Macaca fascicularis: one gene and its partners. The protein of the gene in region 1 purifies or fractionates together with the protein of each later gene. This does not show direct contact. Links are inferred from orthologs where the notes say so. Each region holds a gene or a part of one and is shown in the gene's direction. Other genes may lie near its edges.

Region 1 (4,061 bases):
GCGGCAGGGCAGACACGTTTGCTTGCACAGCTGTGAGCTGCATGCATAAAAGCAGGGATGGTTTTGGCCTAAGGCAGGGATGGTTTTGGTCTTATCCGTTATGGCATCCCCTTGTGGCACATGTTAGGTGTTCAAAAAATATTGGTGGAATGGATGTGATTACACTTCATGCCACAGTATATAAATATGATTTTAACTGGACAGGGAACTGCCCAAGTTTCCCATATTGATCCTTTTTGCGATCTTAATTATGGTACTCTGAGCTGGGATACTGCCTAAACTGCCTGGGCTACAACAAACTCTAAAGGGCTTTTACTTTCACGTCCACAGTGGTTGAGGGTTCGCGTTCTGTGAATGCTGGAACCTCACGCGAGTAGCTGAGTAGCGAGGATGGTCACTCCCGGATAAATGAATACAGGATTCTCGCGGCTGGGAGCGGTCGCCCGGCGAGGTCGGTCATCCTGCCTGTCCGGTAACACCACGAAACACCTGCCACTGATACCTCCCCACCAGCTCCCGAGGGTTCGCGCCGGCATCCCGAGCCGCACCCCCTGTTCCGCCGCAGCCGGATTCCCTCCAGGGCGGGTTACGCCCCTAGGCGCAAAACAGAACCACTTCGCATCAAGAAGACAAAGTATAACCAGTCACACCAAAAAGAGGCAGCATTATTTAGACAGCCGGCTACTCCCCCAGAGACTCCACCCAGTCCCCTGGGCCCGGCGTTCAGCGCGCCGACGGTGCCCGGCTCCAGGAGCTCCAGCTCCCTCCACGTGTCCTGTCTTCCCAGCAGCCTCCTCTGCCGCCTCTGGAGGAAAATCTCCTGACAACTCGCGGTCTGCGGACTACGACTCCCAGGAGGCGCCGCGCCGCGGCTCTCCCCGCCCCCTTTCCGGGACGCGCAGGCGCCCTGGGCTCCGTCTACCAGCCTGGCTGGCGACGCCTGGATGCGGTTTCTTCCGGGATTTGTAGTTTTTCTGGAGTTACCCGGGCCGTCTGTCAAAGGGACAAAAACTACAAGTCTCGGCTGCCCCAGCGCTGCGAGCTTGGTCACGTGGCGGGGGCCGACCGGGCGTGCGTGCCGCCGTTGATCCGGTGCTGCAGTGAGGAGGTGGTTCTTGCCCGTGTTGTGTGTGTGTGTGAGTGAGAGAGCGAGTGAGTGAGTGAGTGAGTGTGTGTGTGGGGGGACTCGGCTTGTTGTTGTCGGTGACTTCCCCCTCCCCTTCACCCCTTCCCCTCCCCGCCGCCGCTGCAGTGGCCGCTCCCTGGGCTGTAGGAAATGAGCGATAACGATGACATCGAGGTGGAGAGCGACGTGAGTCCTGGGGCTTCTTCCTTCCCGTGCGGGTTGTCAGGCGGGGACAGCGGCCGGGGCTCTCAGCGGGGCGACGGCGGGAGGGGGCCGGGCCGCCGCCGCCTCCTTCCCCTTCCCCTTTCCCTCGGGGCCAGGACTGCCTCCGTCGCGTTCCCGGCTCGCTCCCCTACGGCTCCTGGCCGGAGCGGCCTCCTGGGACTGGAGGTGGGGGGAAGACACGCGGCTTCTGGGACTCCCACCTTCTCCCGTGGGGGAGGGTGCTGCGGCCTCCCGCTCCCACCTTCCCGGGCTCAGGATCCGGGGGACAAGGATGGGGGGCGCCCGGGATCCCATTGTCCGGATCCAGGGGAAGGGGACGGCGTTCAGGACCTGCCCCTTCGGAACGCGATCCTCTCCTCCCGTGACCCGCGGATCCTGGGGGGCGAGGAAGGGCGGAGAGGGGTTGGGGGTGCCTAGATGCCCGAGCTGGGTCTGCAGGGAGGAGACAGTGCTCGGGACCCCTCTGGCCCGGGTCGGATCCCGGAAGGAGGGGCGGCGCTCGGGACCCCTCTATCCCGCTACCGGATCCCGCCGAGGGTGGAAGGGTGGGGGCAAGGGGTGGGGAGGGAGGAAGGGGTGTCGGGCTGACTCCCCACCCTCCGCTTCCTCTGCCGCCGGCATTTTCTTTCTTATTATTGAATGTTAAGTGTAAAAATAACTTCTATATTTTCTATTTTTTTTTCTCTCCTATTCCAGGAAGAGCAACCGAGGTTTCAATCTGCGGTACGTCTCCTACTCTCCATTTCATTTTTATTTCCGTTCAGTTCTATTCCTTTTTGGGGTCAGAGAGAAAAAGAGATCGTACTGTTACTTTTAATATTGTAGTAAATCACTAATGTTAACCACTAAGGTGAGGTGGGGCCTGGTTCTGGAGGGTGGGGGAGTTGCAAATCCTATCATTCTAGATTCTCAGGTGATAAGTTCAGTAAGAGGAGCTGTATGCAAAGAATTGAATTGTTCTGTAGTTTTCAAATAGGGGATCCAGCTGCCGCTATGTAAGTGGAAATGAGAAATGCAGCATTCTGAAGTCAGTGGTAGTATTATTTCAGGGCAAAGTGGTCAGAAGATTTATTTAGGAACAAGTAGATTTTAAACCATATCTGTATAATTATGTGAAGCTGAAGCCACATGCAATAATCGCCTTTAACCAAGTCATGTGACTGCTATAGACCTGTAGAATCTAGCACAATGTGGTATTCTAACACAAAAATTGGAAATGTAGAGGAGCCAAACGTTGCATCATCAAAGTGTCACATAAAGTTATTATGGTCTGATTCTCTGTATTTGAAGAAGAGGTATAAAGAAAATTAAAAAATAGCTGAAGAAAAGTGGCATTGCAGGAAGAGCTTTGCTGAAAGGTGATGGATGAGACCATATAATGTTATCAATAATTTTTTAGGGTTTTGATATTAATGTTCCCAGTAGATGGTTCTGTGGATTTAGATATGCACTAATTTCATGTCTCTGGAGTCTGAGACAGTAATATGGGTTTTTCATGAATAGATTAGAGGGGAAAAAAAGAAAACATATAGAATAAATCAGAATCAGAGGGGAAGAGAAATAAGTATATCAGAATTCTAATATTTGAAATTGGGAACAGTAGGAAGTGTATAGAATGGGGGTAAAAAATTTGAATGCCCATGAGGGCCATAAAGAATAAAGAAAGAAGAGGTGAGGACTTGGGTACTGGAGAGCAATGCCTCTCCTAAAAGGTCAGCCACTACTGAATTCCAGTGGTTTGTTATGTAGGAGTGAAGGGTCAGTATTGCCAGATCTTCCTATTTTTTATTTTATTTTATTTTATTTATTTATTTTTGAGATAGAGTCTCGCTCTGTCACCAGGCTGGAGTGCAATGGTGCTGTCTCGGCTCACTGCAACCTCCGCCTCCTGGGTTCAAGCGATTCTTCTGCCTCAGCCTCCTGAGTAGCTGGGACTACAGACGCACACCCCCACATCCAGCTAATTTTTGTATTTTTAGTAGAGACGGGGTTTCACCTTGTTGGCCAGGCTGGTCTTGATCTCTTGACCTCGTGATCCGCCCACCTCGGCCTCCCAAAGTGCTGGAATTACAGGCGTGAGCCACCGCGCCCAGCTGATCTTCCTATTTTTTAAGAAAGATTAGAAATCCAAAGCGTTATGTTATTTTTCTGATTTTTAAAATGATGTGTGGAACAACTGTTTGGGCTTGTTAGAATTTGCAGGATGTCACTTTGATACCTCTGGTATAAGAACCTAATAATCACAGGATAAAGGCAAGCCATCTCAGTTGTACCTGCTCTTCATTAGAGCAAGCAAAGATTATGCAGGTTGTCTAAGCAAATAGGCATTAAGAAAACTTATTTATTGAGAGCTGGTATTTTCTTAAAATCCGGGGATGTAGTTGTTCCAGAAATCTTAAAAATTATCCCTGGGTAATAGTCATTAAAGATAATTTATTTTGTTTTATTTATCCTTGAAGTATTCTCATATACTTATGCATATATTTGAAAATTGAATTCGTTTTTTTCGTTTACTTTTATCCTTCATGTTTGGGGCCTAGTCTGTTGAAAACTTTTTTTTTCCTGCAAGTCTCCAGTTGTAAAATCTGTGCCAGGGCTTGATCAGAGACAGAGGGTAAGGATCGTTAGGCTTCCTTTGCAGAATTATCCTTTGAATTGGAATTATACTGAATCCTAGTAAGAGAAAGTTTTTTTTTTTTTTTTTTTTTTT
Region 2 (4,252 bases), on another chromosome or scaffold:
AAATATCGCAGGTGAAAACAGAAGAGAAAATAAGAATCACAGAAAAGGAACAAACATGTTGGATATTTGTTTTTCAGAACATTAACTAGGCTTTGGCCACCAGGAGTGACTTAGTAAATGGAACTGTTTCTCTGAACAATTTTTTTTTTTTTTGAGACGGAGTTTTGGTTTTGTTGCCCAGGCTGGAGTGCAGTGGCACGATCTTGGCTCAGTGCAACCTCCGCCTCCTGGGTTCAAGCGATTCTCCTGCCTCACCCTCAGGTGATCCACCTGCCTCAGCCTCAGACTCAGGTGATCCCGACCTCAGGTGATCCACTCCCCTCAGCCTCCCAAAGTACTGGGATTACAGGCGTGAGCCACCGCGCCAGGTGGGATTATCTCGTTTTTACTAGAAGGCTCTATCTCCTGGGGGTGGGATGGGGTGGTGAGATCAATTCACCTGGAAGTGGAAGCTGGGAACCTGGTTTGAGTTCTGATAGTTCTGGGGTCCAGCCCCTTATCTTGCTTCGCCTGGAGGGCTGAAGGACTGGAAATACTTTTGTTTTGGGGCTGGAACGCGGGCTGCAGTTTGGGAGGCGGCGGTAGTTTGGAAGAGGAGGCGGGGTCTGGTAAGCACTTTACCCGAATTGGGCAGTGGGAATTTGGGAATTGAGGACAATGGGAAGCTGGTTCTGAGTTTTAAACTGGGGAGTGACAGATCAGAGCTGGATTTTTAGGAGTTTCTCTGTCTGCAGGTTTAAAAAAGACCCGGGTGGGAGGTAGGGCTGGGGTGAGGAGGGAGAGAAGTGGGCGATCTGGGAGCTGAGGCGGGGTGGAAGGGAGAGCAGCGCGTCACGGGCTCGGGATTCCGGCCCAGGCGGCCAGAGATAGAGATGAGCTTCTTTCTCCGAACTGGGTTTGCTAACCTGTGACTGTCACTACTCCATGCTCCAGGGCACCTGGCCCAAGGGATCAAGCCTTTTGGGCACACAGATCCACCTGGAGCCCTGAAGGACCAGACAGGGACCTCGCCTTCTCTGTGTCCTTCCTGGGAAGGGGACTCCAGACCAACTGCCAGTCTTCCGGTTCCACCTCTCTGACAACCGCTCACCTCACCCTCCTTGGCATCTTTATTTCAAACGCTCTGTCCTTTTGTTTGCACGGGTTCCTGTGTCACATTCTGTGTTCCCATTTTTAATTGGAGAATAAGGGACTGCGTTATTCTACCCACAGGCCTAGCTGAGGGGATAGGGAGGCCGTGCCTACCTCCAAGGCTCTACGAAGTGAAGCAGGCGAGAATGTGCAGTCGTCGAGGCCAGAGCACCGGGCCTCAGCTTCTCCTTAAGACCCTGAGTCCTCCTCTGGGGACCACCCCGTTGTACCTGGAGGAGAAAATGCCCGCCCAGGAGGGAAGGGTTGGCCCCCAGAGAGCCCGCTGCGAAGTGAGTTTGCGCACTGCGGAGTGACTCCAGCGCGGCTCTGCCAGTCCGCGGGGCTGGCGGGGAGCAGGTTCGTGCACCGCGGGCTCTGCATGCAGAGGCGGGAAGCGCCCGCAGCCCGGCAGCCGGCCCCGCGGGAAGGCGCAGCCCGGGCTTCCGAACCCTGTGAACGAACGCGCAGGTTCCTGGTCTTCCAAATGGGCAGGAGTCGTCCTACCCGCCTGGGGTGGGAGGCCACATGGGGGCACTGCGCCCGGGAGCGGTCCCGGGTGTTTTCCAAATGCCCACTGCTGCTCTCATCCGTACCAGCGATGATCAAGAAGGGGCCTGGTCGCCCGGGGAGGTGCCCCGGTCCGACTTGACTCCGGGGACAACGCCGGGCGACGCCATCTGCGCAGGTCCCGGAGGGCCGCTTGTGTCTGTGTGCAGGGCGTGCTGTCTGTGGAAACGCGAGGGCACACTAGCACTTTCCTGTATGTATCATTATACTTCAATTTTTAGGAAGTACATTAGGAGGGCCTGCACCAGCCAAATTCGGAGATTAAAGCTTTTAAGCGGGAAGCACGCGCCCCGTGCTGTCCCTTTAAAGCGTTGGGCCGGCCCGAGGCATTCTGGCCGCTGCCGCTGCCCGTAGCGCTCCTCCGAGAGGCCGGCTTTGTGAGCTCGCCCCGCCCCCCGGACACCGCCCCCCTCCCCTCGCGCACGCGCACTGCGCCCCCGCCGCCTGGCGCCCGCCCGAGCTGCCGCCTCGTCGAGCTGAGTCCGCGCTCCCGCCCAGGCGGCGGCCGACGCGACGCCCCGAGCGCCCGGCCCCGCCGCCGCGGCCCGGCAGGTAAGCGGGTAGCCGCCCGGCCCGGGGAGCGCAAGGCGGGCAGCGGGGCGGCGCCAGGAGCCGCCAAACCACCCCCGGCCGCCGCACGTGTTCCCCGCCGGGCCTCGGGCCAGGCCCAGCCCCGGGCGCTGCTCCAGCTGCAGCGGCCCCGCCCGGGACCCCCGCCCTGGCCCCTCGGTGGACGGCTGCGCGCGTAGGCCCCTCCACCCCGTCCGCCCCCACTCGCGCCCCCACCTCCGCTTCCCCGGCGGGCCACTGACAAGGCCAGAGCGCCGGCACTGGGGCCTCTTTCCCGCAGGCGGCGTACCGGCCTCACATCGCCCCTCTTCCTCCTCTGCCCCTTCAAGGAAGGACCCCAGACCCACCAAGCCACTCAGTCCCTGGACGTGGTGCGCTTCCCCTCCTCGTAGAAACGCCCCCAGCCCGCTCCCGCCGCTCACCCCAACCCGAGGCAGCCAGGCTGCAGTTCGCTAGGTGGGGTCCTGGGGTGCGGGTCCTCGGTCCTAAACGGGGGGCCCACCGTGCCTCCTCGCGCGGGGCCGCAGACCTGTCCTGGCCGATCTGCGAGAGCCATTTTGAGCGGTTACGTTCCGGGACCAAACTGAGGTCGGCCTGTTATTTATCGCTAACGACACTCCCTGCTGTCTCGCTTGCAAGTTTCCACTCACCCAGGTCCGTTTACCCATCTCTTCAAATGCTAGTTTAATCTGTGACCTGGGCAGGTGCTGTGCTAGCCGGTGGGGAAGACAGGTAAGCGAAGGACCCAGGCGGGAGCCTGTCCAGGATCTCAGAGAGGTAGAGCCGGGTTCCCACCTGTGTTGGGCTGGCCACCTGGCTGGTGTTGAAGATGCAGATTAATTCTTGTCTTTGCACACAGTGTGCTCTCCTGACTGCACGCCGCAGGCAGGTTCCTGGGCTGGATCTCAGGGACTGAGGGACTCAGGCATCAGCCTGTGGCATGCAGTCCAGGAGGCCATACTGAGATTTGGTTGCTGGGCTTCAGGTGGTCAGGCTTACCTGGATGAAAAGCAGTGGCTGCTAGGTGGAGCCAGGCAGCAGCTGGTCTAGAGGTCACCTCCTCATCACCGTGCCTGTAACCTCGGTCCCCCCCCTTTCCTCAGTATCAAGTCTCCAACCTTCCTGTTCCCTCAAAATGATTGTTCCACAGAGACACCTGGTTGGTCATGAAAATGCCAAGCCTTGGCCCAGCGCGGTGGCTCACGCCTGTAGTCCTAGCACTTTGGGAGGCTGAGGCGGGCGGATTTTCTGAGGTCAGGAGTTCGAGATCAGCCTGGGCAACATGGCGAAACCCTGTCTCTACTAAAAATACAAAAAAGTAGCAGGGTGTAGTGGTACGCACCTGTAATTCCAGCTACACAGGAGGCTGAGGCACAAGAATTACTTGAACCCGGAAGGTGGAGGTTGTAGTGAGCCGATATCGTTCCGCTGGACTCTTTGGACTCTGTCTTAAAAAAAAAAAAAAAAAAAAAATGCCAAGCCTAGATGCCACTACTGAGGTAGAAACTTGGCAGGTGTGTTGGGTCAAGAAATTGCATCTCTCTCCCTACCACCACCACCACGGAATTTTTCACTCTTTGGCCCAGGCTGGAGTGCAGTGGTGCAATCTTGGTTCACTGCTATCTCTGCCTTCCAATTTCAAGCGATTCTTCTGCCTCAGCCTTCCCAAGTAGCTGGGATTACAGGGACCCGCCACCACACCGGCTAATTTTTGTATTTTTAGTTGGGACGGGGTTTCTCCATGTTGGCCAGGCTGGTCTTTATCTCCTGGCCTCAGGATCTGCCCGCCTCCTGCCTTGGCCTCCCAAAGTGCTGAGATTACAGGCGTCAGTCACCACACCCTGCCACTGTATTTTTTTTTTTTTTTGAGACGGAGTCTCGCTCTGTCATCCAGGCTGGAGTGCAGTGGCGTGATCTCGGCTCACTGCAAGCTCCGCCTCCCGGGTTTACGCCATTCTCCTGCCTCAGCCTCCCGAGTAGCTGG
Region 3 (4,191 bases), on another chromosome or scaffold:
TGAGCCGAGATCGTGCCACTGCACTCCAGCCTGGGCAACAGAGCGAGACTCCGTCTCAAAAAAGAAAGAAAGAAAGAAAGAGAGAGAGAGAGGGAGGGAGGGAGGGAGGGAGGGAGGGAGGGAGGAAGGAAAGAAAGGGTGACCACTTGAAGGGCTGCTGAAATGGGCCGGTGGCTTGTATTAGAGTGGTAGTGGAGGAAATACAGGATATATTTTGGAGGTAGAAAAACCAACATGTTGGCAGCATGGATACAGGGGTTTAGGGTGGAAGGGGTTGAAGGAAAGAAAGACATCTAGGAAGAGTTTCACATCTCCATGGTGGACCTCAAATTTAGGCATATGTTTTGTATGTATTCAGCCTCCACATATTGCATTTAGAGTCTCAATTAATTCATTGGGACACAGCATAGCATAGGGAAGGAATTTGTACTAAATTTGGAATCCCTATCCTGTGTGATCTTGGAAAGTGCCTAAACCTGAAGAGCCACCACTTCCTCTTCTTTCAAATGGTGATAGGATGTGTAAGGGTTTGAAAAGATGTTTGCAAAGCTCCACAACAGCACCTAGAACTCAGGGTGTCTAAAGAGGTTGTGGGAAACCCTAACGGGATGAGGCAGAGAGCCTCAGATTCAAGGTTTTTACCCAGGAGGGAGTGGTGCATGAGGAAGGTTGCAAGATTTTGAGGAGGCTGGACACTTACAGCATTGAGAAAAAGAATATTCCAGTTTCAGCTGACGCGGTGGCTCACGCCTGTAATCCCAGCACTTTGGGAGGCTGAGGCGGGTGGATCATGAGGTCAGGAGTTCAAGACCAGCCTGGCCAAGATGGTGAAACCCCATCTCTACTAAGAAATACAAAACTTAGCCGGGCTTGGTGGCGGGCGCCTGTAATCCCAGCTACTTGGGAGGCTGAGGCGCGAGAATCGCTTGAACCCGGAAGGTGGAGGTTGCAGTGAACCAAGATCGCGCCACTGCACTCCAGCCTGGGCGACAGGGCAAGACTTCGTCTCAAGAAAACACACACACACACATACACACACAGTATTCCAGTTTCTTTCTTTTTTTTTCTTCTTTTCAATCTGGAGTATTTCAGTTTCTGCCTGAGTTGGAAATGAGTCCCTCTGCTATGCATCCCAGCAAAAGGACACCTTAAATACCTAACTCGGGAGAGTACGAGGTTATTCCTGGAGTCTGGAACAGTGACTATCATAGGTGCTCAGTAACCGTTTAGTGAATAACATCCCAATGAAGTCAAGAGGTTGGCGTAACTGGAACAGTCGGCGTGAGGCGCACCAGGTTTCCAGCGTTCCTGGTTTCCACGTCACTATGGTAACGTCCCACCCTGCACACCCAAGGCGAACTACAATTACCACAAGCGCCCGCGATTTCCCCGCCCAAAGGGAGAGAATGGCGCGAGCAAGCACGGAACCGGCTTTTCCTCCTTCCTGCAGCGTGATTGGCCCGCGGCTCAGGGAGGCGACCAATGAGTGCTCTCGTGGAGAGCGACGAGGCCAATATGGCTTCCTGCACCTGGTGACGCTTGGCGAAACTGAGGTCTCATGGAGAAGCCCCCGAGTATTGAGGTGAGAAGGAGAGGACTTAGCGTGACTTGGAAGGGGAACCCCGAGATCCTCGCTCCGTGGACCCTTCTTTAGGGCTTTTAGCGACGTCTGGAGGATGGAAGGTGGAAGGATGGATAAACTGAGATAGTTAAACTGAGCCAGGGCCAGAGGCGACTGGCGTTACTTTTTGCTCCTCTCCTGCTGGGGCCAATGTTCGGCGAGTTCAGGGAGGAACAGCCGTCCCTGGCCTGGGGGAAGGGGAACTAGGTTTAGGATGTGAGAGCTCCTGAATCGATTCTTTATCCTCATTGTCTCGTGGCCGTGTTCTTTAGGGCTTGTGAGGCCTGTTACATGAGGTGGGAAGTGAAGGGCGATTAACGTTGGGTGAACATCACTCCTTGTCTGTAACGTTCATGTGCATTATCTTCCAGTACCCTCACAGGAATTATTATTCTTTCGTCTTTGTCGTTCAAGCCACTGAGGCTTAGAGGTGGTGCGACGCCCCAGGAAGTTACCCCGGCTGGAAAGTGAAGGAGGTTGGCTCTAAGTCTGTCCGCCTCCGAAACTATCTGTTATGCTTTTCACATTGTACTGCAACCTGGAACCCACTCATCCCTTTTGTTTTTTCTTTCAGACGGAGTCTTGCTCTGTTGCCCAGGCTAGAGTGCAGTGGCCCGATCGCGGCTCACTGCAACCTCCGTCTCCGGGTTCAAGCAATTCTCCTGTCTCCGCCTCCCATGTAGCTGGGATTACAGGCATGCGCAACCACACCCGGCTAATTTTTATATTTTTAGTAGAGACGAGGTTTCACCATGTTGGTCAGACTGGTTTCGAACTCCTGACCTCAGGTGATCTGACTGCTTCGCCTCGACCTCCCAAAGTGCTGGGATTACAGGCGTGAGCCACTGCACCCCGCCTCATCCTTTAATCATTTGGTTTCTGGGCACTTTATATTTGTTTTAAGAGACGGGGTGTTCCTCTGTTGCCCTGGCTGGAGTGCAGTGGTTACTCACAGGCGTGATGACAACGCACTGCAGCCTCGAACTCTTGGGCGCAAGCAATCCTCACACCTCAACCTCCTAAGTAGCTGGGACTATAGGTGGTCTCTGTCACCCTGCCTGACAAGGGTACCTATATTTGAACTGTTTCCTTTCTAGCATATTTGCATGTATAGTTGCAAATATAAAGTGGAATAGCTCAAACATTCTGCAAGGGTAAAGGAAAATAATAATGTGGAGAATAATAGCATGTCACACTTTTAGAGCTGTTACTGACTGCTGGAAATAGAACTAGGCTTTACATATCTTAATCTTCATAAGAATTATCTAAAGAAAGCTTATTATCTCTCTTGTAATGATGAAGAACTGAGGGTAGCAAGATAAAATACGCACAAAATCACACAGTTAATAAATGTTAGAGCCAGGATTCAAACCTAGGCAAATCATAGTCTATGCTTTCAACCAGTAAAAGTTGGCAACGTTTATTGAGCACTTACTATATGCAAGTCACTATTCTGAGTGCTTTGCCTGTATTGTCTCTTACTTCTCCCCCAAATCCTTTTTTTTTTTTTTTTTTTTGAGACAGAGTTGCTCTCTATCACCCAGGCTGGAGTGCAGTGGTGCAGTCATAGCTCACTGCAGCCTTGACCTCCCTGGCTCAAGAGATCCTCCCACTTCAGCCTCCCTAACCACCACGCCCAGCTAATTTTTTCCAGTTTTTGTAGAGACAGGGTTTCCCTATGTTGCCCAGTCTGGTCTTGAACTCCAGGCTCAAGCAATCCTCCTGCCTCGGCCTCCCAAAGTGCTGCGATTACAGGCATGAGCCACTGTGGCCAGCCCCCAAACCCTGTGAAATAGGTGGTACTATCCTCATTGTACAGATGTGGAAACTGAAACACTGCAAAATTGACTTGCTGCAGGTCACACAGCAAGTAAGCACTAGAGATGGTATTTGAGCTCTTCACACCTTTTTTTTTTTTTCCCTTTGAGACAGCGTCTCCCTCTGTCATCTAGGCTGGAGTGCAATGATGTGACCATGATTCAGTACAGCCTTGACCTCCCAGGCTCAAGCTATCTTCCCACCTCAGCCTTCTGAGTAGCTAGAACTACAGGTGCATACCACCACCACCTGGCTTTTTTTTTTTCTTTTGAGACAGTATCTCACTCTCTTGCCCAGGCTGGATAGCAGTGGCATGGTTATGGCTCACTACCGCCTTCACCTCCCAGGCTCAAGCAATCCTTCCACCTCAGCTCCAAGGAGCTGGGAATACAGGCACATGCCACCACACCTGGCTAATTAATTTATTTTTATTTTTTTGAGACGGAGTCTGGCTGTCGCCCAGGATGGAGTGCAGTGGCACCATCTCGGCTCACTGCAAGCTCCGTCTCCCAGGTTCACGCCATTTTCCTGCCTCAGCCTCCTGAGTAGCTGGGACTACAGGCTCCCACCACCACGCCTGGTTAATTTTTTGTATTTTTTTTTTTTTTTTTTTTGAGACGGAGTCTCGCTGTGTTGCCCAGGCTGGAGTGCAGTGGCCGGATCTCAGCTCACTGCAAGCTCCGCCTCCCGGGTTTTTACGCCATTCTCCTGCCTCAGCCTCCCGAGTAGCCGGGACTACAGGCGCCCGCCAC
Region 4 (4,047 bases), on another chromosome or scaffold:
ATCTGTGAAGTGAGAGGATTTAGGGCCCGCCGGCCTCGAAGGACTAACTCTCCGACTGCACCCGGGCTCCCCTAAACACTCGCGCCAGGAAGAAGCAGGCGGGCGGGCGGGCGACGGGGTCCCTCCCTCTGGGAAGCGCGGTTCCAGCCGGACGCAGCGGACCCCGCCCCCGCGTCCCGCCCACTGCCGGTCGCCAGGCGCGGGGAGGGCCGGGCTTCCGCCCTCCACGTTGTTGTTCCCGATTTGGGCCACGCCCCCAGGGCCTTGGCTGCGGGCGCTTCGTGTTCCCTGCCCGGGCCCCGGCCCCAGAGCAAAGGGTGGCCCATGGGGTGGCACAGTCCGTGTCTCCACCCACATCGAATACGCGTGGACAAAGACTGGGGTTTAGGGGAAGGAAAGATAAAGGTTTGGTTTTAAATGGAGGGTGGCGAAAAGGAATGGGGAGGCCAGGGCATGACTGCGGGATTTCCCTTACGGCGTCCCACCCTGGGTTCGCCAAGTGGCCCCATCCGCACCCGCGAATGTGACCTGCAGACACTGGCCCTTTAAACCGAAGGCTGGCGGCGCGGGGTGTCCATGTGGAGCTGCTCCATGCCGTGTTGTCCTGCCCGCCCATTGGCCCGCAGCCCGGTGACGTCGCCTAATAGGATGCGAACGCACTGCGGGGGGAGGAACGGAGACAAAACGCGGAGCCGGACTCTCGCTCCGCTCCTTCCGCTGGTTCTCTGACAGTCTCCAGCCGCCGGCAGCTCCGCCCAGGGGCGGATCCCGGGGGAATTGCGACAGCCGGGCGATTGCGGGATTTAGGTCGCGAGTGGGTGGAGCGTGGAGACCCAGGGTCAGGCCAGTCTCTGCCATTCCCAAGGTTTCCCTGACCCGGAATATCCTGATTGGAGCTCTGTTAAATCTTGAATTGTTCATCCTTCCCTTCCTCCAGCAGGACAGATTTCGTCGTGAACGACCCAAACGCGCCGCCCCGGCCCAACTTGTGGCTTGCAGCAGGGGCGGGGCCAGCTGGAAAGCGGAACCACGGCGCGCACACCCGGCTCTGACCTCTCCCTCCCTGCCCGGGCCACGTGTGCGCGCGCCGGCTCCGGTGGGCGGGGCCAGCAGCGCAGGACCCGCCCCTCCCTTCGCGAGACGCCGCGGCCCTGCGGGCGGGGGCTCCGGTCCGGGCTTTGGCTGTGGCCCCGGTGTAGTAGCGGGGGCGGCGGCCGGGGGCAGCGCGGCTCCTTCCCTTGTTGTGTGTGTCGGTGCCTCCTCGCCATCTTGTTGCAAAGCCCTTTCTTGTCGGCGGGACTCCCGGGGGCCGCGGGGCGGGAGGCATCGGAAGGGAGGTAGAGAGGGAGGGGAAGAAGGGAGGCAGTGCCGCCTTTTTTTTTTTTTTGCACCCATTTTTTTAAATTTGCAATTTTATATTTTGCAAATATTTTGAGAGACATTGATTTTTCTCCCCGTGCTCCCCCGTTCTTCCCTGCGGAGTGCACTGCGCCGCCCAGCCCTGTCGCCCCCCGGAGGTGATCCCTCCCTCCTGCCTGCCCGCCAGCCTGACCTGTGCCCGGCTCGCGGGCCGCAGCCTCGGCCCCGGCGCGCCCCCGGCAGCTCTCGGCGCGATGAGCATAGAGACGCTACTGGAGGCGGCCCGCTTCCTGGAATGGCAAGCGCAGCAACAACAGAGAGCACGTGGTGAGCGGCCGGGCTGGGCCCCTGGGGCACCGGGGAAGGGGAAGCGAGTGACCCCGGTCCCCGAACCCACGCGAAACCGCGGACAGGGCCCCCTCCCGGGCGGCCCGCGGAACCTGGCAGCGCACGGCTCCCCGCGAGAGCCGCCGCCCGGGGAGGGGTGATGTGGGCAGTGAAATTAATTAATGAAGTCATTAACATGCAGCGAGGGACCTGGCTCCTGCGGGCGCCACCCTGGCTGCCTGGCACTCCTGTGCCCCTTCCGTGGGGGGCTGCTTTTGCGTGGGCCAGCGGAGCCCTCGGTGGCACTGAGGATGTGTGAGCCGGGGGGTGGGGTGAGGAATGGTGTTGCGTGGGGGTGGCAGGCTCGCGTGTGCGTGCGTGTGTGCACGGGGGATGTGTGATGTGAGCCTCGGGAAAAGCAGATGAACGGACGTGTACACGGGCGTGTGTATAGCACACGAGTGGGCGTGTGTGTAACGGAGTGGGGGTGGGGACTACTCTACGCCGAGCAGCTCTTCGGCTTCCCTGGCCCCGTGGGGAGGGTGCGGGGGGCGCTCCCGGCAGATCTACGCGCCGCTTGGGGCGGAGGCGGCCTTTGCAGAATGAAATGACATCGCGTGTCTTATGATCCTGGCCAGCCCCGCCTGACCCCGCCTCCCAGAGCTGGGCTGGGCCGCGCGTCCGGGGTTTGGGTGAAAGCCGGGCTACTTGGGCGTTTGCGAAATGGCCCGCGGGTCGCTGGGGGGCAGCCCCCAGGTCCCCCTCGCTGCGCCCCGCTTTAGCCAGTGTGGAATGTGGCGTGTCTGCGCGTTCCAAACCCGCTCTCGCCTGGAATGTTGCGTGTGCCTGCGTTCCGAGCCCGTTGGTTACACCGGGTGGTGACGTGGACGGGCTCCGCCCCCGACCACGTGCACCGGGGACACTCCTGCTGGGGACGGCGCGGCCCGGCCCCTCCTCACCGCCTCGCGCTCGGCTGGGGGCGGGGCTTGGGCGGGGCTGGCAAGGGGCCTTGCGCTGGGTTGGGCCCGGGCGCGGGCCCCGGCCTCTGGGCACCTCCCAGGGAGAGCCTTTGCCCTGCGAGGGAGGAGCCGAGCTCACCTGTCGGCTCTCGCCCCTAACCTCCTGTGTTTGATCCCGAGAGCAAGGGAAACCCTCAGAATCGCAGGGCGACGAGACATTTAGAGCTCACATTTTTCCACTGACCCCCAGAACGTTCCAACCATGCCCCCTGGCATCACCCGGGGCCACGCTGGAATGAGCCAGGTTGAGAAAGAAACTTCGGCGCTTCCTCTAAAGGGAAGAGACTAATGACTCCCATCTTCACGCGCCCTGTTGGTGGTCCCTGGCTTCAGGGTGCTGCAGAGGGGCTGGGGGGAAAGATCTTCCTTTTCCAGGGTGCTGCCAGAGCCTCGGCTCTGGAACGGTGTGTGTGCAGGACCGGGGGACTCCTGTGCCCTCCCCGCCCCCCAGAATCCCCCGGCAGGGTTGGTTGTGGTGGAGAGAGTGCTTCGCCCTCCTTTCCTTTCTCTCTGCCTATTGTTGCTTCAATGATGAGTCATGCAGGAGGTAGTAGTGTGTTGTGTGCGCGCGCGCCGCCGTGTGCTGCCGCCGCGGCGGGCAGTGAGGGGGGAGCGGGGAGCGGCAGCGGGCAAGGGGCGGGGGAGCTGCGGGGCCGCCGGCCTAGTCGGGGCGACCGGCCTCTCAAGGTCAGGAGTCACTGGAAATATGTGAGACCCAGATGCCTGGGTTTTGCAGAAGTGATGGGCGGGGACGTCACCAACACTCCCCGCCTGTTGCCTTGGGGGTTCAGAGCAGGGTCTGGCAGTGGAGAGTGCCCGTGGTGACCAAGAATGTCCTACGTTTGGGCACAGGGGTCAGGGGAAGACCGTGCACAAGGTTCGGAGAGACTAAGTCACCTGCTGCCGCCACCAACACATTGCAGTTCGAGTACCCACTGTGTTTAGGCCGAGTTCAGCGGCCTGGTCACCGCTGCTTGGTGTTGGTCAGAGGTCTTTGGAGATGAGTGGGTGCGGAAAGCCGGATCTACTCAAAAACTCATGTACAGGTGGCCAGAACCGGTCCCAGCAGTTTCACCTCCAGAATTCATTTTCTTCTCCCTCTTGACGTTCTGTCCTCTGAGCTGGGGCAGGACGAACGGGAGGGAAGGGCATGGTAGGTGAACCTGCTGACCAGAACGCTTTCCCAGGACCTAGGACCAGCTCTGGACAGGGATCCTCTTGTCCATTCTCCCTTTCAACCGCAAGCATGGGTTTCTGACCTAGACCAGCCAGTGTGCTCACATGAGGACCCTGCAGATGTGTGTGCCCGTCAGAGAGAGAAGAAAGGGCAGAGCTATCCTGG
Region 5 (3,500 bases), on another chromosome or scaffold:
GTGGCTGTGGATAGCGAACAGTTGGTGGGCGTGGCACCCTCGCCGTGTGGGCGGGGACTGACTGTCTGAATTGTCTTTTTTGACTATAGGTAATTGGTACGCCTCAGAGACCGGCAGCGTCAAACACCCTGGTGGTAGGAAGCCCACACACCCCCAGCACTCACTTTGCCTCTCAGAACCAGCCTTCCGACTCCTCACCTTGGTCTGCCGGGTGAGCACTTCCCTCCGGACCCTTAGAGTTGTAGGATTGCTTGCGGTTCGCACCTCCACGTTCTCCTGGGCCACGTGCGTGACACAGTCGCACGGTGGGGCTCCCATGCGCATTGATGTCAGCCTCCGAATCACACTCACCCATCATCGTGCCCCGCACAGGTGTGCAGTCGAGGCGCACTGCCTCGGTCACGGAGAAGTCGGGCTGGGCACTGCCCACCCTGCTTTGTGTCTGGTGTAGTGGGTGCTCTTGGAAGGGCTGGCAGCTCTTGGCCAAGACGGGGAGAAGCTGGCCTTGTACTTGCCACAGGACCTTGGAGACTTTTCATCGTCTGTGCTGGGAGCACGCGGGATGGATTTCACCCACTGCCCCTGAATGCAGCCTCTACTGCCCCTGGGGTTACGGCCCCCGTGAGTGGTCCCACCAGAGTGGCTCCTTCCACTAAAGCAAGATCTGATGAGCTGTGTCTTTCCTTAAAAAAACACACATGCAAAGCTACAAAAACCTACCTGTGTCGGTGCCCAAAGCTTCACCAGCTGGGACCGCAGGTGACCTTTCCCGCCACGTGGGGACTGACCAGAGTGTAGAGTTGGGCTTTCCCTCTGTGTGAAGAACACTTAGTGGTTTGCACCTGTTGTCAAGCGGCTATCACAGCCCAAGCCGTATGAAATTATAGCCTGCTGAAATTTGTCCTAAAAATTCCCAAATGTACACTGAAATGTCCCATAGTTCCTGATTCTGGTTGCCCTCTTTAGAAAAGTGATGCCTGTGGCTCACACCTGTAATCCCAGCCCTGTGGGAGGCCGAGGCCGGCAGATCATGAGGTCAAGAGATTGAGACCATCCTGGCCAACATGCTGAAACCCTGTCTCTACTAAAAATACAAAAAAATTAGCCAGGTGTGGTGGCGGGCGGGCGCCTGTAATCCCAGCTACTTGGGAGGCTGAGGCAGGAGAATCGCTTGAACCCAGGAGGCGGAGGTTGCAGTGAGCCAAGATCGTGCCACCGCACTCCAGCCCACTACAGAGCGAGACTCCATCTCAAAAAAGAAAAAAAAAAAAAGAAGTGCTTGGTGTACTGATAGGCCTCTCATATGCTGAGTACTGATAGGCCTTCCATATGCTGATTCGGGTCCTGGGGACGCCTCCCGTTTTCCCTGACACTTGGAAGGACAGAGGTGCAGCCTGCCAGGGAGACACTCGCTTTCTGACCTGCAGGAGCACTGGGCCTGGGGGCTGGGGCTAGGTGGTCCTGGCCTGCTCACGTGTTGGATCTGCTGCGCCCGTGGGATGTGGCCCCTTTTTGTGCAGCTCATTAGAGCTCTCAGGTAAAAGCATTCCTCGATTCAGACTGATGCTCAGGAGGGCTGACGGTCGCTTCTTTTTTCCTTTGTATTTTGAAGGAAGCGCAACAGGAAAGGAGAGAAGAATGGCAAGGGCCTGCGGCATTTCTCCATGAAGGTCTGCGAGAAGGTGCAGAGGAAAGGGACCACTTCCTACAACGAAGTGGCGGACGAGCTGGTCGCGGAGTTCAGTGCTGCCGACAACCACATCTTACCAAACGAGTCAGTAAGTGTGTGCTGGGGGCCGAGAGGCCAGGGTAGCGGAACCAAGTGGTGTGGCACGTTTTACTCTTTTAATATTGGGAACAGTTAAAACCATACAGAAAATTCCAAGTACAGCATGACAGAATTTTTCCCAGTCCATTTGCTGGCATGATGCTCTGTCAGCGTCAGTGAGCGAGCACGTGGGCTGGCTCTGCACATCCAGCGGCCCAGAAATGCAGACGTGCCCTCCTCGCCAGCTGGGCTCGACACCCGAGGGCCCCCAGCTCCCCTCCTGGAACACACTGGGATTCGCACAGCCCTGTCTTGCCCTGCATCATCTGTAGGGTGGGAGTGCTCCCTGAGGACGTGTTGGGGTGACAGCTCTGTGAGCGGGGTGCCCCTTCAAGCCGGTGCACGTGGCCTACAGTTTAAGGTGGGATCCACAGGCTTTTTTGGATCATTTGGAAAATCCACTCCCTGTCATCCGCAGGCTTATGACCAGAAGAACATAAGACGGCGCGTCTACGATGCCTTAAACGTGCTGATGGCCATGAACATCATCTCCAAGGAGAAGAAGGAGATCAAGTGGATTGGTCTGCCCACCAACTCGGCTCAGGAATGTCAGAACTTAGAGGTGGCCCTTCAACCTTGATTTCCCTTCAAGTCTGTGTAGATGTGTTTGTTGTCCGTCACTCAGAAGGGTCTGGGCTCCATGCCCTTATGCTCTCTGTGTCCAGACGGCTGGCAGACGGTCATGCAGACGTCTCCCTGCGTTTCTCAGTCTCGGCTGTCAGGGGAGGGAGCATGGTTGGCCCAGACCCACTAGAGTGTGTTAAACTCTAGCACAGGTTAATTGTGAATCCTAGTTTGTGGGATTTTTGTTTTCTTTTTAGATACCATAGTTAAATCCAAGAAATGAGAGGAGAGGGGAAAAGGTATAGTTTAGAAATGGAAGAAAAACTCACCTGTATTTTGTGGCATCTGCTATGTCTAGATTTGTCCATATCCCTTCGATTACATTCAAGGTAAACATAGGTAACACTGAGGATGCGGGTTGTAAAATGCACTGTATGGAACAATCGTGATGATTCTCTACATGGGGGGTTTGTTTTTGAAGGTGGAAAGACAGAGGAGACTTGAAAGAATAAAACAGAAACAGTCTCAACTTCAAGAACTTATTCTACAGGTAAGAGAATACATATCTTTGGAGGCAGGGTAATTTTTATTTTACTAATTTAGTTTTATAACAGCAACATACTGCCTTGGGTTACGCTCCTGTGTGGCAAATTAAATGACTGCTTTAAGATTCTGAGTGTGAGTTCATCTCATAGGTGTTGAATGTGGGCCGTGTTCCCAGAGCGAGGTTGTGTATGTGTGTGCGTATGCATGCATGCGTGCGTGTGTGTGTGCATGTGTGTGTGCACCTGCGTCCATGTGCCTGTGTGTGTGCATGTGTGTGCATGCCTGCGTGTGTGCCTGCGTGTGTGTGCACGCATGTGTGTGCGTGCCTGCGTGTGTGTGCCTGCATCCATGTGCCTGTGTGTGTGCATGTGTATGTGTGTATCCCTCGTCACAGTGTCTAAACAGCCAAAAGACAGATGGAGGGATGACTTCATGCAAAAGCAGCATTTGAAAAATCCCCTCAGAGGTGCTTAACCCAAGGCCCAGGTGCCAGGCGAGGCATGTAAAACTGTGGTGGGCGCAATGCACCTGGGTCTTGACAGTGCTGATCAGGGCCCTGGAG
Region 6 (3,500 bases), on another chromosome or scaffold:
TGTGGTTGAGGAAGGTTGAGCCCATGGTGTCCTCTGTGGCCCAGGGCACGGCAGGGCCCAAGGTGTTCCAGGCTGCAGGGTCAGGTGCAGCCTCCAGCTCTGCAGGCAGAGGCATGGATCCCTGTTTCTGATCAGCCTCTGTTGACAGAGTGCATGGCCTCTCGTGGGAACTGATGCCAGGGCTTTTTTGTGGCACAGGCCATGGCCTGGTCATTCTGTGGACAATGGGCAGTTCTGAGGTATTTGCAGGAGAAGAATGGATTATATTCTTAAGGCAACATTAACTTTCGACATCGTGGAAGCCAGTGACAAATACGTGCTGACCCCAGAGTCATCCTGTTTCTAAACAGCGTGAGTGTCCAACTGGGATGTTTGTTCCAGGTTAGCAGCTGTCAGGGCCTGTCGGCAGAGGGAGATGCCCACAGCACAGAGGAATCCAGCTTCAGAGCCACTTCCTCCTCTATGTGCCTCTTGTTTGTTTTGTTATTTATTCTACTCCTTCATTCTTCTCTCTTTTTCTCTTTTTTTGTTGAGATGGAGTTTTGCTCTTGTCGCCCAGGCTGGAGTGCAGTGGCATGATCTCGGCTTACCACAACCTCCGCCTCCTGGGTTCAAGCAATTCTCCTGCCTCAGCCTCCTGAGTAGCTGAGATTACAGGTGCCCGCCACCACGCCTGGCTAATTTTTGTATTTTTAGTAGAGACGGGGTTTCACCATGTTGACCAGGCTGGCCTCAAACTCCTGACCTTGTGATCTGCCCGCCTCGACCTCCCAAAGTGCTGGGATTACAGGCGTGAGCCACCATGCCCAGCCCAGCCTTTGTTTTTTTGGGTTTTTTTAAATAAATTTTAAAAAAAGCTCCTCAGACTTGTAAGCCTTTAGTTCCTAGAGTTCTGACAAAGTTGATTTTGGTGGTTTTGCCAGCATTCTAACTGCTTCAGGAGCAGACTTTGGAAATCCTTTGCCGTCTCAGAAGTGCTCCTTCCCGTTTGACAGATGAGGAAACAAACTGCGTGTGTGGCCAGTGGCCTGCCTTGTTCTTCCCGGTGGAAGGCAAGAACTTTCTCACGACCTTTCTCACGTTCTGCCTCACGGCCATTCGGAGCACGTGGGTAGGACTTAGTCTGGAAGAGACCCTGTGCCTCTACCAGATGGTCGAACAGGAACTCCATTAACTAAGGAAACTTTCTGAGTTGGTGATGTCTGCAATAGTCCATGAGTACGGAGTTCAGTCTCGAGTGTGTGTGTGGTTAGACCAGCTCCTTCAGTTTGTGAAATATTGGTCATTAGTATAAGGTCTTGGTTGGAAGTGGTGCTGCTGGTGTCCGGCTGTTGTGTTCTGTTAATTGGCCTGATACCTTCTGTGGTCAGCAAGGGTGGAAGTGTCAGATACTTGCCTGCATTCTTGTCAGGTATCGCATGTCAGGTAACTGCGGCTTTGGCGCAGACCAGCTGCGTTGGTGCTTTAGAGCAGACGGCGGCGAACCCTGGACGGAGGCAGCCATCTTGCGCCTCCTCACGTTCAGTCTCCTAACAATGCGCGTGTTAAATCTGTCACCAGAATTTACTCTCGGTGCTAAGTTAAAGAGGAATTGCAATTTGAGAGTTTTTCTTTTGCCAAAAAAAAAAAATCAGTGAGTGAGATGGGAGTGTCACGGGGTGATGTGTTTCAGGTCCTCCGCGACATCCTCAAGGAGGTTCAGAGTAACATGGTGCCACGCAGCATGCTCAAGGAGTGGGCGCTGCACACCTTCCCCAACGCCACGGACTACTGGACGTTCCGGAAGATGTTCACCATCCAGCTGGCTCTGATAGGCTTCGCGGAATTCGTCCTGCATTTAAATAGACTCAACCCCGAGATGTTACAGATCGCTCAGGTAACCTGGTTTGAACTGCCAGATCCTCTCCTCGTGACATTGCCTTTCTGCTGAAGTTCCTAAAGTGTCTCCTTCTGAAATTTAGGACACTGGCAAACTGAATGTTGCCTACTTTCGGTTTGACATAAACGACGCCACTGGAGACCTAGATGCCAACCGTCCTGTCCCGTTTCGACTCACGCCCAACATTTCTGAGTTTCTGACTACCATCGGTGTCTCCGGCCCGTTGACGGCATCCATGATTGCGGTTGCCCGGTGCTTCGCCCAGCCGAACTTTAAGGTGGGTCTCCGCGTCGTCCTGTCATGGGCACAGGCTGGGGCCACTCAGATGCCCAAGCGCCACGGCCTTGCAGGAGCTGCTGATCTGCCTCACGGGCTCTGCGTTCTCCACAGTGGCCGGCACCCGTGTTACGTCCTTTGCTGTGCGGGCAAGGGATGGTTTTCTCTTTGGTTCACTCTCGTCTGTAGTGCTTGGAATGGGCCTGCTGGACACTGGGCAGACGCTGGAAGGCGTCAAGTGAACAAATAAAAAGATCGGGCCCCAGTCGCAGCATGGCTGCCTTTGCCGTCCGGGTCTGTGCTGCCCAACACGGAGGCTTTCTGGCTGCTGCTCCAAGTGGAGGAAGGGGTTTGTCCCTCAGCGGCTTCCCCAGCCCATCCTGAGAGCACACAGCCTGGCCTGGTGCTGAGGCTTGACGGGCCCTCGGTGGCCCTGGGCGGCCACTGTGGTTGAGTCCCACCCTGTTAGGAAGCTGCCCCTCTGGGCTGTTCTTGGTTAAACACACGTCCTCTCGTTCTCTCCCTCACGCAGGTGGACGGCATTCTGAAAACAGTTCTCCGGGATGAGATCATTGCTTGGCACAAAAAAACGCAGGAGGACACGTCCTCTCCTCTCTCGGCCGCCGGGCAACCGGAGAACATGGACAGCCAGCAACTGGTGTCCCTGGTTCAGAAAGCCGTCACCGCCATCATGACCCGCCTGCACAACCTCGCCCAGTTCGAAGGCGGGGAAAGCAAGGTGAACACCCTGGTGGCCGCAGCGAACAGCCTGGACAATCTGTGCCGCATGGACCCTGCCTGGCACCCCTGGCTGTGACCGCGGCCGCCATGGCCACCCGCAATGTGAAGGGCGCCCCAGGCTCTGAGCCCGCAGCTTATACGACTTGTCCCTGCCTCGTTCCTTTTATTCTCAGAAGCCCCGCGGTTCCACTGGGTTGCAGTTATTTTCCTGGTAGTTGGTGTGTGAGAGGGAGAATTTAGTTTTAGAGGAAGCTGAACTATGACGACGCTGGGCGAGGCGGTTAGAAATGGCAGAGCTGAAACTTCCTGCAAGCTTTTAAAATAATCTTTTAAGAAACCAGGATTCTCCGGTCTGGAATTTCTGGGTGAGCCCTTTTTTTATGGTGTCCTCTGTCTGTGAACGTACAGGCGGGACTGTGCGAACCGCTCCTTACCATCCATTTTTAACTCTTTCGGAAATAACACCTCACAGCAGCTTCCTGCTTTTGTACAGACCTTTGTAACAAGTGTACAGAAAACCCGTTTGGTTTGAGAAACAGATGATGAACCCATCGTGCTGGTTTTTCTCTGAGCACAAACTTTTAGGCTGTACGCAGCCAGCCTT
Region 7 (3,956 bases), on another chromosome or scaffold:
TGTAGAAACCCCCAGTCTAACCGGTTGTTTCCCTCCAACTCTGTACACACCACGGTGTGTTACCTTTTTGTTTCAAACATGTGCTGGCCTCTGTTCTAATCACAGCAACCTGTATCCATTAATCCATTTAATCCTCACAACAACCTTATCAGGTAAGTATTGTCATTATTCGCATTTTCCAAATAAGGAAACTGAGGCACAGGCAGATTAAGTAACTGGCTTAATAAGGTCTTCTGGTTTATAAGTAGGAGCCAGGATTTGAAAACACACCTCTGGCTCCAGCTTAATTAACATGCTCTGTTTACTTATCTGTCCCCACTGAAATTGGAGGTTGAACCTGTGGCATATCCAAATGAGTAAGTATCGCCTGTGCTCACCCCAATATCTGACACTATAGGTCCACGATAACTCATTCATCAAACAGGAAGGAGGGAGGAAGGAAGGAAGGAAGGAAGGCAGGAAGGAAGGAAGGCAGGAAGGAAGGAAAGAAGGCAGGCAGGCAGAAGTAAAACGATACCACAATGGTTTGGTTGCTCACATTTACTAAGCATCAACACTGACCCGCCTGTAAGATGTGCTAACAGAGCTCAGGAATAAATGAAGGCCGGGCGTGGTAGCTCATGCCTATAATCCCAGCACTTGGGAGGCCAAGGTGGGAGGATGGCTTGAGCCCCAGAGTTCAAGACCAGTCGGTGCAATATACTGAGACTCTGCCTCTACTAAAATTAAAATTAAAAATTAGCCGGGCGCAGTGGCGCGCGCCTGTAGTCCCAGCTACTTGGGAGGCTGAGGTGGGAGGATCGCTTGAGCCTAAGAATTCGAGGCTGCAGTGAGCCCTGACCACGCCACTGCACTCCAGCCTGGGCGACAAAAAAAAAAAAAATTAAAATTAAAAAAAGGAATAAATGAACATCTTTGCGGCTGAGAGCTTTCAGTTATCACCGTCGAGAATTCCAGGCGAGCGCTGCGTTTTCCCAGCTGCCTGTTTTCTCTCACCCCCGTTCCCTTCCTCTGGAATCCGGCTCCACCTCTTCCTTTTCCTTTGCCAGCCTCTCCGTGGATTCCGCGGTCCGGGTTTCCCGGGCGCCAGCCGCCGGGAGAGGATCGGTGCGTGGGAGCGCTCCGGCCGCGGCGGGCATGCGCAGAGGGGGGCGGTACACTGCGCATGCGGAAAAATGGCGGGCCGGGCTACTTGAGAGCCGCGGGTCTACCTCCTCCTTTCCCGTCTTCGTCGGGAGTTCCCGGGCACGTGAGGCAGTGCCGCGTTTGCTGGCGGGTGGGACGGCCTAGCCGGGCGGGGCCTTGGAGGACGCCGCGGATCCGTCAGTTTCTGGGCCCTTGGAAATCGGCGCGTGGGGGGCGGTGATCGAGCTGCGCGCGAGAGGGCGGGAGAGCTCGCGGGGTGCGAGGGGAGCGGGACGCCCGGCCGGGCAGCATGAGTCAGCAGCGGCCGGCGAGGAAGTTGCCCAGTCTCCTCCTGGACCCCGCGGAGGAGACGGTTCGCCGTCGGTGCCGAGACCCCATCAACGTGGAGGGACTGCTGGTAAGCTCCGGGACGGGAGGGGGACGGGCGGGGGTCTCCCAAAGCTGGCCCCCTCCTCCCCGCGCCGCCGCCAACCCCGCTGGCCGTCGTCTCGGTCGTCTGCTCCCCCTGGGCCAGGCGCTGCCCATCACGTGCTGCGAAACTGCGCTCTCCCGCCTTCTGCTTTCAGCATCTGTTCACAGACGTGGTGTCAGTCTTCTGGACTTTTACATCGGAACTTCAGGGCACTGTTGGAGAAAATTGCTCAACTTTGCATTGGAAAGGCCATGTTTTTCTCCTTCAGTGGACTCTAGCTGTATCTCTGCAACCTATCATTTGTTCTTCTACCTTCTCTCTCTTCTGCTCTACTGCAGCCGTTTAAAACCTTGTCCACGCTTTATATTTACCACGCCACAGCTCCCATTCATAAAATTATCTCCCCACCTGTTTGACGGAGAAAATGGTTAGGAGATTTGGCTCCCTTTCCCACAAAGACTGATTTCTTCTACTCTTGTTCTGGACCAGATACTGTATTCCCCGGTTCTCAAGGTCCTTAACAAATGCGTTCTTTTCCATTCCTCCCGTATTTTCTTTTTCTTTTTTTGAGATGGAGTTTTTACTCTTGTTCCCCAGGCTGGAGTGCAATGGCACGATCTCAGCTCACTGCAACCGCCGCCTCCCAGGTTCAAGCGATTCTTCTGCTTCAGCCTCCCATGTAGCTGGGATCACAGTCATGCGCCACCACACCCAGCTAATTTTGTATTTATAGTAGAGACGGGATTTCACCGTGTTGGCCAAGCTGGTCTCGAACTCCTGACGACCTCAGGTGATCCACCCGCCTCGGCCTCCCAAAGTGATGGGATTACAAGGCGTGAGCCACCGAGCCCGGCCTCTCCCCATATTTTCAATTTCTCTGCTGCTTTCTTCCTATAACTAGTAGTAATTAAACATTTTCCCAAGTCATTATGCCTGGTCCCCATACCAAATAGTTTGTGATTATTGTCTCATTTAATTTCTCACAGCAGTGTTTTATAATAGTAAAAGACTATTATTCTTGTTTTACGGTTGCCAAAACAGACCTGGAGATGCATGTAATGCCGGCTTGCCTGTGGCTAGATAGTAAGTGGAGAAACTTGGGTTGAACCTCCAAATGTCTAACTCCAGATGATAAATTCTTGACTACTAAAACCACATTCTCAATCCATCCCCATCTTAAAAGATCCCTCCCTTAATTCCATATCCCTTGCCATCTACTGTCTCTCTTCCCCTTCACAGCTAAACTTCTTGAAAAAGTTATTTACACTCACTCTTTCCACTTGATCGTCTCATTATCAGCCAACCCACTGCTGGGGACCCCTATCCTCAGCACACTTGTGAGACCATTCTAACCAGGGTCACCGACAATCTCGTCAATTCCAGCAGCTGTTGTAGTTTTGACACAAAACTACTTGTGTTGGAAACTCTCCCTTGAGTTTCCTTGACATTGATGTTCCATCTGCTTCTCTGGGCTCTCCTTGTCCTCATCCTCTTCCCAGTCCTTCATTTTTTTTTCCCCCGAGACAGGATCTCACTCTGTCACCCTGGCTGGAGTGCAGTGGCACATCCTGGCTCACTGCAGCCTTGACCTCCCAGGCTCAAGTGATTCTTCTGCCTCCACCTCTCTAGTAGCTGGGACCACAGGCACATGCCACAAGGCCTGGCTAATTTTTTTATTTTTAGATATGGAAGTCTTCCTGCGTGGCCCAGGCTGGTCTTGAACTCCTGGGCTCAAGCTGTCCTCTCACCTCAGTTTCCCAAAGTGCTGGGATTACAGGTGTGAGCCACCGTGGCTGGCCACATGTTGATGATATTCAGGGTTCTCTTCTGCTGTCTCTACACATTCTTCTTAGGGGAGTTCATTCTCTCCTCCCATGACTTATGTTACCGTCTACATTTGATCCTTGAACGACTCAGGGTTTGGGGCACCAAATCACATGAAATTCAAAATCTGAATATAACTTTGATTCCCCCAAAACTTTACTGTTTCCTGGAAGCCTTACTGATACTGTAAACAGTTGATTAACACATATTTTGTATTTACATGTATTAGTTAGTGTATTCTTATAATAAAGTAGCTAAAGAAAACGTTATTAAGAAAATCATAAATAAGAGAAAGTCCTACTCATTCAGGGGAATTAGATGATCGTAAAGGTCTTCATCCTTGTCTTCACACTGAGTAGGCTGATGAAGAGGAGTAAGAGGAGGAGTTGGTTTTGCTCTCTAAGTTGTGGCAGGGGGTAAAGAAAATTGGCATCTAAGTGGACCCACACAGTTCAAACCTGTGTTGTTTGAGGATCAGCTGTATATTGGTACCATCTGTATTGGTCGTCTTAATATTTGAGAATTTGATAAAAACTCTAAGCTCACTGTGGAAAAACCACTTAGTTTGCATGCA

What was found.
Region 2: the proteins of MAX (region 1) and WDR5 purify together in Homo sapiens (affinity purification with mass spectrometry; 4 studies listed by BioGRID and IntAct, with this or other methods). This does not show direct contact. The link is inferred for Macaca fascicularis from reciprocal best matches to the Homo sapiens genes MAX and WDR5.
Region 3: the proteins of MAX (region 1) and L3MBTL2 purify together in Homo sapiens (affinity purification with mass spectrometry; 6 studies listed by BioGRID and IntAct, with this or other methods). This does not show direct contact. The link is inferred for Macaca fascicularis from reciprocal best matches to the Homo sapiens genes MAX and L3MBTL2.
Region 4: the proteins of MAX (region 1) and MNT purify together in Homo sapiens (affinity purification with mass spectrometry; 7 studies listed by BioGRID and IntAct, with this or other methods). This does not show direct contact. The link is inferred for Macaca fascicularis from reciprocal best matches to the Homo sapiens genes MAX and MNT.
Region 5: the proteins of MAX (region 1) and TFDP1 purify together in Homo sapiens (affinity purification with mass spectrometry; 5 studies listed by BioGRID and IntAct, with this or other methods). This does not show direct contact. The link is inferred for Macaca fascicularis from reciprocal best matches to the Homo sapiens genes MAX and TFDP1.
Region 6: the proteins of MAX (region 1) and TRRAP purify together in Homo sapiens (affinity purification with mass spectrometry; 6 studies listed by BioGRID and IntAct, with this or other methods). This does not show direct contact. The link is inferred for Macaca fascicularis from reciprocal best matches to the Homo sapiens genes MAX and TRRAP.
Region 7: the proteins of MAX (region 1) and E2F6 purify together in Homo sapiens (affinity purification with mass spectrometry; 5 studies listed by BioGRID and IntAct, with this or other methods). This does not show direct contact. The link is inferred for Macaca fascicularis from reciprocal best matches to the Homo sapiens genes MAX and E2F6.

What each region holds. Positions count from the first base shown.
Region 1 is NC_088381.1:132,922,108-132,926,168, reverse strand, and holds the start of MAX (protein max), read left to right. Parts: upstream 1-1,261; 5' UTR 1,262-1,276; coding exon 1,277-1,516; intron 1,517-1,937; exon of another isoform or gene 1,938-1,990; coding exon of another isoform or gene 1,991-2,047; coding exon 2,048-2,074; intron 2,075-4,061. UniProt on the Homo sapiens protein: Transcription regulator. Forms a sequence-specific DNA-binding protein complex with MYC or MAD which recognizes the core sequence 5'-CAC[GA]TG-3'. The MYC:MAX complex is a transcriptional activator, whereas the MAD:MAX complex is a repressor.
Region 2 is NC_088389.1:5,237,859-5,242,110, reverse strand, and holds the start of WDR5 (WD repeat-containing protein 5), read left to right. Parts: upstream 1-1,452; 5' UTR 1,453-1,656; coding exon 1,657-1,891; intron 1,892-2,131; exon of another isoform or gene 2,132-2,250; intron 2,251-2,337; exon of another isoform or gene 2,338-3,000; intron 3,001-4,252.
Region 3 is NC_088384.1:10,407,013-10,411,203, reverse strand, and holds the start of L3MBTL2 (lethal(3)malignant brain tumor-like protein 2), read left to right. Parts: upstream 1-1,391; 5' UTR 1,392-1,406; coding exon 1,407-1,582; intron 1,583-4,191. UniProt on the Homo sapiens protein: Putative Polycomb group (PcG) protein. PcG proteins maintain the transcriptionally repressive state of genes, probably via a modification of chromatin, rendering it heritably changed in its expressibility.
Region 4 is NC_088390.1:2,519,650-2,523,696, reverse strand, and holds the start of MNT (max-binding protein MNT), read left to right. Parts: upstream 1-1,247; 5' UTR 1,248-1,613; coding exon 1,614-1,686; intron 1,687-4,047. UniProt on the Homo sapiens protein: Binds DNA as a heterodimer with MAX and represses transcription. Binds to the canonical E box sequence 5'-CACGTG-3' and, with higher affinity, to 5'-CACGCG-3'.
Region 5 is NC_088391.1:104,025,194-104,028,693, forward strand, and holds part of TFDP1 (transcription factor Dp-1), read left to right. Parts: intron 1-89; coding exon 90-211; intron 212-1,612; coding exon 1,613-1,778; intron 1,779-2,246; coding exon 2,247-2,390; intron 2,391-2,873; coding exon 2,874-2,942; intron 2,943-3,500. UniProt on the Homo sapiens protein: Can stimulate E2F-dependent transcription.
Region 6 is NC_088377.1:47,584,194-47,587,693, forward strand, and holds part of TRRAP (transformation/transcription domain-associated protein), read left to right. Parts: intron 1-1,672; coding exon 1,673-1,876; intron 1,877-1,961; coding exon 1,962-2,156; intron 2,157-2,687; coding exon 2,688-2,972; 3' UTR 2,973-3,500. UniProt on the Homo sapiens protein: Adapter protein, which is found in various multiprotein chromatin complexes with histone acetyltransferase activity (HAT), which gives a specific tag for epigenetic transcription activation.
Region 7 is NC_088387.1:110,643,199-110,647,154, forward strand, and holds the start of E2F6 (transcription factor E2F6), read left to right. Parts: upstream 1-1,156; 5' UTR 1,157-1,435; coding exon 1,436-1,543; intron 1,544-3,956. UniProt on the Homo sapiens protein: Inhibitor of E2F-dependent transcription. Binds DNA cooperatively with DP proteins through the E2 recognition site, 5'-TTTC[CG]CGC-3'. Has a preference for the 5'-TTTCCCGC-3' E2F recognition site.